3 linked regions of the Arabidopsis thaliana genome follow. The protein of the gene in region 1 interacts with the protein of each later gene in a pairwise test. Each region holds a gene or a part of one and is shown in the gene's direction. Other genes may lie near its edges.

Region 1 (3,384 bases):
CTTGTTTGACAATGTCAGCTCGAGGGAGAGGCCACTGCTAGAGCAATTCGTTTGGCTCGTTTTATTAACACGCCTCTCTATGTTGTTCATGTGATGAGTGTTGATGCAATGGACGAGATTGCTAAAGCTCGAAAATCAGGTTTTCTGTTACAACTCATGTAGGACTAACCTTTTGCTTTTCTCATTGTATGGACATTATCCTGTTAGAAATCAATCTCCTATCCGAACATCCACTAGTGCAATAACATATGTGTAGAAAAGTACCTTTCAAATTTTTACTTAGTATTTGGCTTAATAAATATGAAAAGTTTTTTTGTTATGTATTTCAGGACAGAAGGTTATTGGAGAGCCTGTTGTGTCTGGATTAATCCTTGATGATCATTGGCTTTGGGATCCTGACTTCACAATTGCGTCCAAGTAATAAATCCTTCAGTTCTGTTAATCAAATGATTCCCATTTATTCTTTCAGATTTTCAAAGTTTTTCTCAATATTTCAGGTATGTCATGAGTCCACCTATCAGACCAGTAGGACATGGGAAAGCCCTACAAGATGCCCTTTCCACAGGAATCCTTCAGGTTTCTTTCCTCGCTGTGCATAAACTAGAGAATTGCATGACCTGTAGCATCAAAATGTTAAGATCTTCTAAACACCTTTTTCTCCTTTTATTGGGATAATCTCTGCAGCTTGTAGGAACTGATCACTGCACTTTCAATTCTACACAAAAAGCTCTAGGACTTGATGATTTCCGCAGAATACCTAATGGTGTTAATGGTAATAGCTGACTTGACTGGTTTCTTGCTTTCTCTGCTCACTGCCCCTGCTAACCTGTAAATACTTTTGAACTTGTCCATATGTTTAGGCCTTGAGGAACGGATGCACTTGATATGGGACACGATGGTGGTAAGTACTTGTGGAATAATAAATTCTTCTTTCTGTACAGAAGTTTTAATCGTTTTCTGTATATCCTAATCCAGGAGTCTGGCCAACTCTCAGCTACTGATTATGTTCGAATAACCAGCACTGAGTGGTATATATGCTCTTTCGAAGCTTCTTTTTAATGTTGAAAATTTGCTTTTTCCAATGAGCTTTTACTTGAAAGTTATGTGTTTGCATTTGAAATGACTTTAAGTTTGTCAGTGCTAGAATTTTCAACATATATCCACGGAAAGGAGCTATCCTTGCTGGCTCGGATGCAGATATTATCATATTGAATCCAAACTCAAGCTACGAGATTAGCTCAAAGTCTCATCATTCAAGATCAGACACAAACGTCTACGAGGGCAGAAGAGGAAAGGTAATGATACCCTTTTTACAAACAATTCGTCTTTACTGATTTGTATAATCTCTGAGCAATCATAACCTTTTATTTTATTGGGGACTTGATTGTTAAATCTCAGGGAAAAGTTGAAGTGACAATAGCAGGAGGACGAATTGTGTGGGAAAACGAGGAACTTAAAGTTGTTCCAAGAAGTGGCAAGTATATAGAGATGCCTCCTTTCAGTTACCTTTTCGATGGTATTGAGAAATCAGATGCTAATTATCTATCTTCTCTTCGAGCTCCAGTTAAGCGTGTCAGAACTGAAGCTACGTAAAGTGCAGGTATCTATCTGCATATCGTGATTCTGTAAGAACAATTGTACATAATTTGTATTAAAAGTATTGAAAGAGCGATTATGAATAATGTGCATGTAGTCTGGTTTTGAGAAAAAATAAAAGATTGTAAAATTTATCCGTGAGTTAATTAGTCTATGTTCTCTTTATCTCAAATCCTGTGTGTATTAGAAGAAAAAGAGGAGACATGCGAAAAGCTTCTTAGTTTAAACATTACTGTTTCCAATAATCAAGCTTTTGAGCTGGAGGCCGCACAGGTATATAAGGCTGCTTTTTTAGTAGGTTGATCAACACTGAAAGGCGTTCAGGTTTTTGCCATCAAACCAGAAATAGATATCGGTTTGGTAAATTACTTTTGGTTTTAATGGTTTACATAAAATCGTCAATCAAAATCCCCCAAGCCTGCATTCGGAAAGACGATTATACCCTTTAATTCTTCCACCCTATAAATACTCGCATCGCATCAATCGTAATCAGAACTATTAACTTTCATTTTCCGATAGAAGAACTTTTTTCACGGCGGCGATAACAAATCACCGGCTAATAAAGGAAGGAAAAGAAGAAGAAGAGAAGCTATGACAACAATCAGTCTTCGCAAGAGTAACACCAGACTCCCACCGGAGGTGAATCGCGTGCTCTACGTTCGTAACCTTCCCTTTAACATAACGAGCGAAGAGATGTACGATATCTTCGGCAAGTACGGCGCAATTCGCCAGATTCGAATCGGTTGCGACAAGGCGACGAAAGGTACTGCCTTCGTCGTTTACGAGGATATCTACGATGCCAAGAACGCCGTCGACCATCTCTCTGGCTTCAACGTCGCGAATCGGTACCTAATCGTGTTATACTACCAGCACGCGAAGATGAGCAAGAAGTTTGACCAGAAGAAGAGTGAAGATGAGATCACCAAGTTGCAGGAGAAGTATGGAGTCTCTACCAAAGATAAGTAATTGTCCTTGAATTCGATCTTCTTATGGTCGTTCTGTTACTGCTGCAATTTAGGGTTTTGAAATTCTGGGAGATGTGAAACTTTCTTTTATCTGTATGAATTTAGTGGAGTTCTTTATGTAAGGTTTGCTCTTTTGTCATTTACATCGACCAAGCAATGAAAAATACATCTTTTAATCCCAAATTAGCTATTGCTGTGACAATTTTTTTTGTGCTTTGATGCAATTTTCCGAGATTGGTGTTCAGTGTTTTGCTAGGAACTAAGTAAGAACGAAAAATCACTAACACATACAAGAGAATTGAAAAAGAAGAACTTAAGTACATTGAGAAAATATACATAATTCAACAGCTCTCCCAAATCCCCTTTCAAGTCTGTTAATATGCATTGTGGTTGCGATAAACGTTCCATTGTCTATATTGTTCCATTACCATCAGCCTCGACCTGTATGATTCGCAGAGCCGAACAAAATAAAGAAAAACAGAAAATAGTGTTAGTCTCCTTGCTGCTCGGCGTTGAAACTCTTGCAAGTACAAGAAGTACTCATAGCTTCCGTTAACTGCTGACTTCATTTTCTGACAACCTTGTACCTTTGCTTAGTAAGTCCCTGTCTTAACTCCTCGAGTGTAATTGTTCCACTGCTATCAGTGTCCATACCTTTAAACTTCAACCCCATGATCTCTTCCTCTGACAAGCAGTTGGTCGTTGTTTGGAATCAGAGTTGAGCATCTTTTTGTTTACAGTTTTATGATGCAGGGAGAGAGTATGGTGTGGTGTGTCAACCAGTTGGATTTTGATCAAATGAGGGGTACTATATTGAATGCAC
Region 2 (3,952 bases), on another chromosome or scaffold:
TAAGAAATCAAGTTTTTATTCTATTCAAAACCTGCAACATTGCTCTCAATCCAGTTCCCAGTTTTTATTAGTTCGTTTTGGTTCTTTAGTTGGTGATTTTGATTTTTTTTCGGATATTATTTTCATGTAAACTTCACTGAAATCTCTCATGGAGCTTTGAGACACTTCTCTGAATCTTGAATCTCTTCCTACCAACTCAAGCGCGCTTGAACCGTGATTGTTGTTGAAAGGAAGCCCTCTTTGTAGAACAGAGTAACGGCGGTCCATGAGCTTCATATTTGGTCAATCACCGTCGGCAAAGTTTCTTTAGCTTCACAGGTTAGCATCAAGCCCGAGGCAGACACAGACGCGATACTTGACAAGGTGATTGAATATATCAAGAGACATCATGTAACTATTCAAGTAGAAAAGGAACAGAACCCTTAGATTCGGGGTCTGTGAATCTTGAAGAACACGTCTTAAATCAAAATGATACATATCACTTGTTCTTGTGGAACTCAAGAACTGAGAAACAGAGAGATGTGAATGGAACTTGGACATTAGAGAATCCGGCGAGACGAGCTAAGATCTCGAATTCTTTCTTTGTTCGTTCTTTCCCTGATGGGTTCATGTTCATCATGAACAACTCAAACTGAAACAAGCTTCTGTCTAAGAGAGTGTCTCCTGGGAACTCTGGGATTACCATATCGACTACAATCACCTTCCCATTTGACGGTAACGACTGATAACAGTTGGAAAGTATCTTCACGCAATGGTCATCGTCCCAGCTATGGAGCATCCACTGTTATAAGTTGTAGCAAACACACAAGAAACCTAGATATTATCTTTTTTTAAGTATATGATTCTGTTAAGACTTGAGAAAGCTTTTAAAAAAGTTAACCTTCATGAAAATAGCTTCTCCTTTAGGAGTGTTTGTAAACATATCTCCAGCAACATGCTCAATTCCTACAACCATAAAAAGTTATGACATTAAAGATCATTTACTATACAACAGAATATATTCAAGAACTTGTATCTGTACCTGGAGAAGGTAATGAAGTGTTGATAACAGTGGGCAAATCAAAGTTAATAGCTTTGATAATGTGAGTATGCTTAGAGATGATTCTACTGAGAAGAGAGCCATCTCCACCACCAACATCAACCAAAGACTTCACACCATCAAAACCATTGTAGTTCTTTAGAAATTCTTCTATGAATACTTCATTGAAACCTTTCATGGAGCTTTGGAACACTTCTCTGAATCTTGAATCACTGCCTACCAGTTCAACCGCGCTTGAACCGTGAGTGTTGTTGAATGGAAGCCCTCCTTCAAGAACAGAATCTTTAAGGTTGTACCTTTTTATAGGTAAATACAACATCAGATTGCATAACAAGTCAAAGATGATAACGTTTTAAGACGAAAGAGTGAGGATGTTGTTAATGATGTTACCACATATCAGTCACGACCTTGTCCTGAAACAGATTCACCATCGGAGCCAACGATCCACCTCCATTTTGGTTCTTGGTGAAGTACTTGGCAACAGGAGCTAAGCCATAGATTGCAAATGGCTCACCGTGTTCAGTAGAAACAGAGCATGTGAGTATAGAGTAACTCGCAAGAAATCTCAGAATCCGATTGACCAAGCTTGAATCATGATGTTTCTTTGTCTCATTAGACAACAAAGAAAAGATCTGAGAAGCAGAGGAAGGACCAGATTCAGCTAATATGTCAAAGAGACCAAGATCAATGGCTGTCTTAAGAACCATGGGAAGAACAGAAGAGCTTGATAAGATCATTGCGTACGAGGAGAGGTTTTGTTCTTCCATTTTCTAAATTTTTCTTGCTTCCTGAATCTCTGAAACAAAGCAAAAGCTTTTGTCAATTCTAGTCAAATTGTGAATGCTTCATTTCTTTAGACTAATAGTTTCTTCTCTTTTTTTTGACCATTCTGGCATGGAGACGTACGTAAATTCGCCAAGTAAACTAAAGAACAAATCAAAGTTTTTGAGACTGAGGCCCAATGGGCTTTTAATTGACGACCATTGGGTTTGTTTATAGTGAACCGCGGAGCAGAGGATCATTTATCTACTTTATTTGTTTCATCTGTCACTCACTGTTAAGGAAGGTCTTGCTGCGCTAAGAAAGAAAAGAAGAAGAAAGATGCCAGGAGCAATTGTGGAGGAAGAGAAATCTCAGATTGAATCCATCAAAGAGCAATTGAAACTCGAGGTTCGTCTTTTTTTTTCTTTTCCTCCGAGCGATTTTGTTTCCGATTTGTTGTTGTCGTCGAATTTGATAATGGTTTCTGGTGGAAACAGAAGGAAGATGATGTTGTTGTGGAGGATGTGAAAGACGGAGAGGAAGAAGACGATGATGAAGACGATGAGGACGTCGAAGGTAATGTACTCTCTCTTTCATTTCATTTTCCTTACTCTCTCTTTCATTTCATTTTCCTTCCGGTTTGATTTATTTCGGTTAACCGGAATTTACTCGTTTGATTCTGATTCATGCTTTGATTTCGAGTGGTCTATGTATGTTTCTAGAAACGTTAGTGTATAGATAAGATTTGTCTTTTAGGTTTGTAGAAAATCAGAAAATTGTTGAACTTGAGGTTCATAAGCCCTAGATTAAGCTTGAGCTATAGCTCTTAAATGTGAATTTGTTTCTCTATGGAACACTAAAAAGAGAAACCTTTGTTAATTTCGGGTTTTGTTTCAATGTTTTGGCTGTGTAGTTGAAGGGGAAGGTGGAAATGAGAATGCAAAGCAAAGTAGAAGCGAGAAGAAAAGTCGCAAAGCTGTTCTAAAGCTTGGCATGAAACCTGTCTCAGATGTCAGCAGAGTGACAATCAAAAGAGCCAAGAATGTAAACAAATCTTCTAACAATCAATAAACTCTCATGTCTCTGGTTATAAGTAACATAGGTTTGATGATTGTGGAAAATATTGCATCTATGTCAGGTGTTATTTGTCATCTCGAAGCCAGATGTTTACAAGAGTCCCAATGCAGAGACTTACGTCATTTTTGGAGAGGCCAAGGTCGACGATTTGAGCTCTCAGCTACAGACTCAAGCTGCTCAGAGGTTTAAGATGCCTGATGTGACATCCATGCTACCTAACGCCGGTTCTGAAGCTACCATGGCTCCACTAGCAGAGGAAGAAGACGAAGACGATGTTGATGACACTGGTGTTGAAGCCAGAGACATTGATCTTGTCATGACCCAAGCAGGTGTCTCCAAGGCCAAAGCCGTCAGTGCTCTAAAGGCTAATGATGGGGATATCGTTTCAGCCATTATGGAACTCACTACATAGAGTTGAGTAGTAGAGCCACCTAAATTGTGCTTTTGTTTCATTGTTTCTTGTCTCAGCTACCATTTTCTTTGAACATTATTAATTATGTCTCCCCTTGATTTGAAGTCATTATCTGTCTACTCTGATCAAAGTATTTAATTTGCGGTCATTATAGGCACTATATAACAAAAGTGTGATGACGTAGTAGTTAACAAAAGAGTAACAGTGGTTTGTTTATACATCTCTTAATCAAAGAGTCAGGACCATAACAAGAAAACATTACAATCTTCAGCAATCAATAGGCTCCACGTCCAAACATTTCCCAGGTTCTGATAAGAAAAAAGACCAATTTATTCAGTAGTGATTCTGAGAAATAGTATCAGTGTTCATTCTCTTGAATCGACATGACCATAAGTAAAATAAAGGGTAACTTGTAGAAAGGAGTACCAACTTCATCTTTCTGCACAATTAGTCATGTGTCAGCCACTTCTTAGGAAAATGATTTGTATGCCTTATCTAGTCTCCATCCAGAAATTGGAGATCTTGAGGCTGTTCTTTGATATTTTACATGCCAACCTGCAAAATCAAAAAAAATCTTGGGCAAGCCTTACCAATCTGACATGTCATTGCCCTTCAAAGTATTTTTAGAGGGGATGGATGATTTGATGTCACCTTTCTAATAT
Region 3 (4,289 bases), on another chromosome or scaffold:
CTAAAGTCTGTTGTCGATTTGATTGTGGTGCTTGATCTTGATCTCCAAGAAAAGGTAGAACTATTACAGGGGCCTATGACCGTTTTTCTTCCTCTATGAATCTTGGCACACATCTCTTTCTAACTTATGCTACTCGGAAAATATGTTTCAGGCTCTTACAGCAATCCAAACTCTTCTTCAACTTAAATCCATAGAGCCTCAGGTTCTCAAAGAGTCCTGCGGGTTGGAAGAAGCATTAGAGAGAATGAAGCTACAGCTGGAGGAATCAATGGCGGATGAATACAAGAGAGACTATGCTGCAGATGTGGAGAGCATTCGTGGTGAAGTGGAACTGATCTTCCGCCAAAAGCTTGGACTTTTATGAACACCATGATCAGTAAGAAAGCAACTCCCTGTGCGTTAATTTCTGGTGGGAAAAGCTTTAGCTGTAGGAGTTGTAGACAAATTCTAACTGCCTTAGATAGACTTAAGATGTGTAACTTAGGCGGATCTTGCTGATCCATTTTGCATGTTATTGCCTCTACTCGAGCGGGTTTCTTCCCCTCATCTTTACTTTCATATCATGTTTGCAAGGTTTTATGTATAGTATTATGAACTTCCACAATTTTCTTGATTCGTGTGCCATGTAAATGATGGGGTTGCAGAAATGTCGGTTTTACAGTGTTAGAAAAAAATAAGTTAAAATAGAGATCACTCAAGCTTTGTCACACGGCAGGGTTAAAAAAGATATGCGGTCAGTTTCCTCCTGACCTCGACTGCAAATGCGCCTATGGCTGCGTACTCATCAAGAGCCTTCTCAACTATGTTGCACCGATTAAATTCGGGCAAGAACAGCCACAATGCCGTCACCATCACAAAAGTGAGTGTCAAAACCTGACTGATTGCTTTCGGGAATCTCCACCTACCGTTAATGGTTTTCTTGATGGCGATCTCCACGGTCGTGCAAAATCCATTTATGAGGAAGAACCACATCATCTTCCAGTCTGGCCTCAACCGTCCCATGTAGAAGAAGATGAGCTCGTGCATTATCCCAGAGACAACAAACGTCCCGAAAGCTGCAAGAATCTGGGAATAGTTCGGGCCCAAAACCGAGAACAGTTGAAGTGACGGTTCGTACACGGTTGGCCGTAAGATTCCAGTGACCATCAGGTTCCATCGTCTCCCCCAGAAATCTTGAAGTGATGTCGCTAGGTACGGCTTGTTGAACTGTGGCTCGAGCTCAAGATCCGACATGGCTCGAACCGCAGCAGCTGTGGCGGCAAGGATGATCTCAAGGGCGAAATATATGTGGATCGCGTAGAGAGTCAGCACGACTTTCTCAGGCAATTTGGTACTGTATTCGTAGGCTTTGATGATGAGAACCACAAAAACTGCCTTTATGGTATAAATCAAAGGACCCTCTGTGGATCCTTCATGGGAGTGAGTTTTTGTAGGTTTTGGGCTCAGCTGAATCTTGATGGGCAAGCAAGAGACAGCTAAGAAAATAGGGAGAGATAGGGGTTTATGGTTTGAAGAGAGAGGACCGCGCCCTAATGCAAATAATAAGAGCTTGAAATTTGCTAGCCAAGCGATGAAGAAAGCCGTGATGCCGAGTAAATGTAAGGAATATATCAAGAAAGGTACTATGAAGAAAATGAGGAAGACAGGGAAAAATAGTATGAGCCTTTTGATTCCTTTTGGAACCAATTTGGCAATGAAAAAAGTGTAACACAGTGAGATGATCACTAAACCCCATGCCTTGATGAAACTCGCCATTTTTGCTTCTTGAACTCAAATCTCGTCGGGAAGCAAGATGATGATGATAAACACGTTTACAAAACGTGTCCGCCAGCGAACACTAAATAATGATAGAGACGTGCAATAAGTTAAAATCCATGAGAAAAGTCTTCTTCTTTTTCTATACGAAACAATTTGACAATTGACATTAAAGAACCAATTCTCTTTCTTATAATATATTATTCATTGGGGTCTGGGGATATGGTAAATGGCTTTGCTTATTGTTCCGTCGTAATTTCTAGTAATAAAACCATTTCAAAGTTTGGTACAGACAAAAAAAAAAACATTTTAAGGTAATCTCAAAACCAAAAAGCCTATCAATCTTTGTACTTGGATGTTTTGTTGTTGCAAGGATTGCAGAGGAAACCAACGAGTTTCTAACTTTGATTCTCTGTAAGATTTTTCTTTCTTGGGCCATGTCAAAAAATTATAAAGAGTTGACTACTGTTTTATTCATCCACTATGTTAATCAAGAACATATTCTTCAACACCATCTTTACTTTAATCAAAAACCCTAATAATATCACCATAATTCTATGTCCCAAACAGAACAGGTGTTTTCTTTGGAGATCTTGAGTTTGGACCTCAGAATCAAAGATATATAAAGATGAATGAGGAAGAAGATAAAGATCAAGATCGAGTAACGAGAGGATGTAGTCACACTCATAGCTGTAACCCTCCAGGCCCAGAGGATGCTTCTCACTCCCACACATGCTTCCACGCTCACACTCATCTCATCATCTCTGTAATAATATCTCTTCCCTTAAGATATGGTATGTTTCTGATGATATTTTAATGGATTGTTATAGATACATATTTTTATGTTGCAGCAGGATCAGCAAGAGAATGATCATTCTGACAGTAGCAACAAGAAACGGTTATGTGGTAATAGAGAGGCAGTGAGGAAGTACAGGGAGAAGAAGAAGGCTCGCACTGCATACCTTGAAGATGAAGTGATGAGATTGCAATCTCTGAATGAGCAATTCCTTAGAAAACTTCAGAGCCAAGAAATGGTGGAAACTGAATTGATCAGACTCCGGGCTCTTCTGGTAGAGATGCAGGGGAAAATTGAAGTTGAACTTTGTAGTTTCTCGTTTCAGAAACAATGCAACGGTTCTGGTTTTGTGTTCAAAGAAGGTGATTTCTCCTACTATTTGGTTTACTAGTTGAAATTGGTTGTCAACAATCTGATACGTTGATGAAAAATTTAGCATTAAGAGGAAGAACTAGTAAATAGCTAATGAAATTTGAGCTACTGAAATTTTATTGAACAATACGAAACGCTAAAGAACTAGTTTCATTTATTTGGTTATCGTCTTAGTAAAAATCACATTTTCGAATAATGAAAACGTAAACTAATAGTAAACCATTCATCACCATCATTTTTATACAAAAGTGACCTAGACCTAATCTTGACACAATTTTGGATCTCGTGTAATCACACAGATGGATGCAACTTAGCAACAAGTAATATGATGTGTGAAGCGGCAAGAGTGGAGTGCGAGGAGGGCCAAACACTTCATGATCCTATTCAATCTTTTGTTCCTCAACCACCACCATTCTCACGTTAAGCGTTTACGGGCTGTGGTATTGTGTGTATATATATACATATGGGTTTAATTAGGGGCATAGAGGTCGGATTCCAATATAGTTAACATATACACAGATTGGTAACTTATTCTACATATGTCTATTTTAAGGGTACCAAAACATCTTGATGTGGAATTGATTTTGAAATGAAGAGGAGGATGATTGTAGATTTGTAGTTGTATGTATATATGATGATAATTGTGGGCTTAGAAGATCTTTGGGGGTCCATTTATAGATTCTCTATATGTGGGTATGGTGAATACCCAAACCAATAATAGATAAGGACTTAAGGTATGCATCATACATGCATGTGTATATCATAAATTTCAAATGCAAATGAATTCCATTGGTGTGGAATAGACTGCCCCAATCATTATTTTTTTTTTTCAATTCGCCTCAAACATTTGCGCATAATAATCATTCTCCCCCATGTAAAATTTACATGCGAATCAAATATTTCTGGATGAGTCAATGATAAGGCCGCAATGTTAGATTTTTGGGGTAAATTATTTAGCAAAGAGTATATATACTTTATAATATTGAAAACACATAATCATAGAGTGAAGTGTTAGGTGCCTCGGCTCTTGTGACTAGACTAGACCACTGCTTTTGACACCCAAAAAATAACTATTATAATCATTGCTTTCCTTTGTGGGTCATTCTTCTTTTATAAAAAGGTCCTTTCGAAATTTTAAATTTTCAAAAAATAATAATTCTTTTTTAACCCTACATTAATTTAGAACAATCATGTCTTTTCATCTTTAATCCTACCCTCTCATGAATATTTTATTAAAGCAAAAAAAAACATACTCAATACTTTGAATATGTGAAACTACGTGTGTAAGATTTTTTCTAGATAATTAGTTATGTTGCTTCAAATAAGAAACCTATGGAATTGGTCAACACATTTGACAATAAATCAT

The links.
Region 2: the proteins of AT5G12190 (region 1) and NACA5 interact in a two-hybrid assay, tested with the Arabidopsis thaliana proteins (one large-scale study listed by BioGRID).
Region 3: the proteins of AT5G12190 (region 1) and BZIP24 interact in a two-hybrid assay, tested with the Arabidopsis thaliana proteins (one large-scale study listed by BioGRID).

Annotation. Positions count from the first base shown.
Region 1 is NC_003076.8:3,939,909-3,943,292, reverse strand, and holds AT5G12190 (RNA-binding (RRM/RBD/RNP motifs) family protein), read left to right. Parts: upstream 1-1,856; 5' UTR 1,857-2,187; coding exon 2,188-2,562; 3' UTR 2,563-2,812; downstream 2,813-3,384. Other genes in the region: PYD2 (pyrimidine 2), read left to right, coding at 19-139, 330-417, 498-576, 685-772, 861-901, 976-1,028, 1,139-1,295, 1,399-1,593. UniProt on the Arabidopsis thaliana protein: May be necessary for the splicing of pre-mRNA.
Region 2 is NC_003070.9:11,964,407-11,968,358, forward strand, and holds NACA5 (nascent polypeptide-associated complex subunit alpha-like protein 5), read left to right. Parts: upstream 1-2,016; 5' UTR 2,017-2,140; coding exon 2,141-2,209; intron 2,210-2,298; coding exon 2,299-2,377; intron 2,378-2,714; coding exon 2,715-2,845; intron 2,846-2,939; coding exon 2,940-3,290; 3' UTR 3,291-3,437; downstream 3,438-3,952. Other genes in the region: AT1G33020 (F-box and associated interaction domains-containing protein), read left to right, coding at 247-426; AT1G33030 (O-methyltransferase family protein), read right to left, coding at 479-781, 881-945, 1,022-1,335, 1,430-1,806. UniProt on the Arabidopsis thaliana protein: May promote appropriate targeting of ribosome-nascent polypeptide complexes.
Region 3 is NC_003074.8:19,281,886-19,286,174, reverse strand, and holds BZIP24 (basic leucine zipper 24), read left to right. Parts: upstream 1-1,982; 5' UTR 1,983-2,110; coding exon 2,111-2,169; exon of another isoform or gene 2,170-2,325; coding exon 2,326-2,521; intron 2,522-2,606; coding exon 2,607-2,913; intron 2,914-3,222; coding exon 3,223-3,347; 3' UTR 3,348-3,785; downstream 3,786-4,289. Other genes in the region: AT3G51980 (ARM repeat superfamily protein), read left to right, coding at 1-54, 152-364; ASAT1 (acyl-CoA sterol acyl transferase 1), read right to left, coding at 718-1,755. UniProt on the Arabidopsis thaliana protein: Transcription factor involved in the regulation of salt stress response. Functions as a negative transcriptional regulator of salt stress acclimation response by regulating cation homeostasis.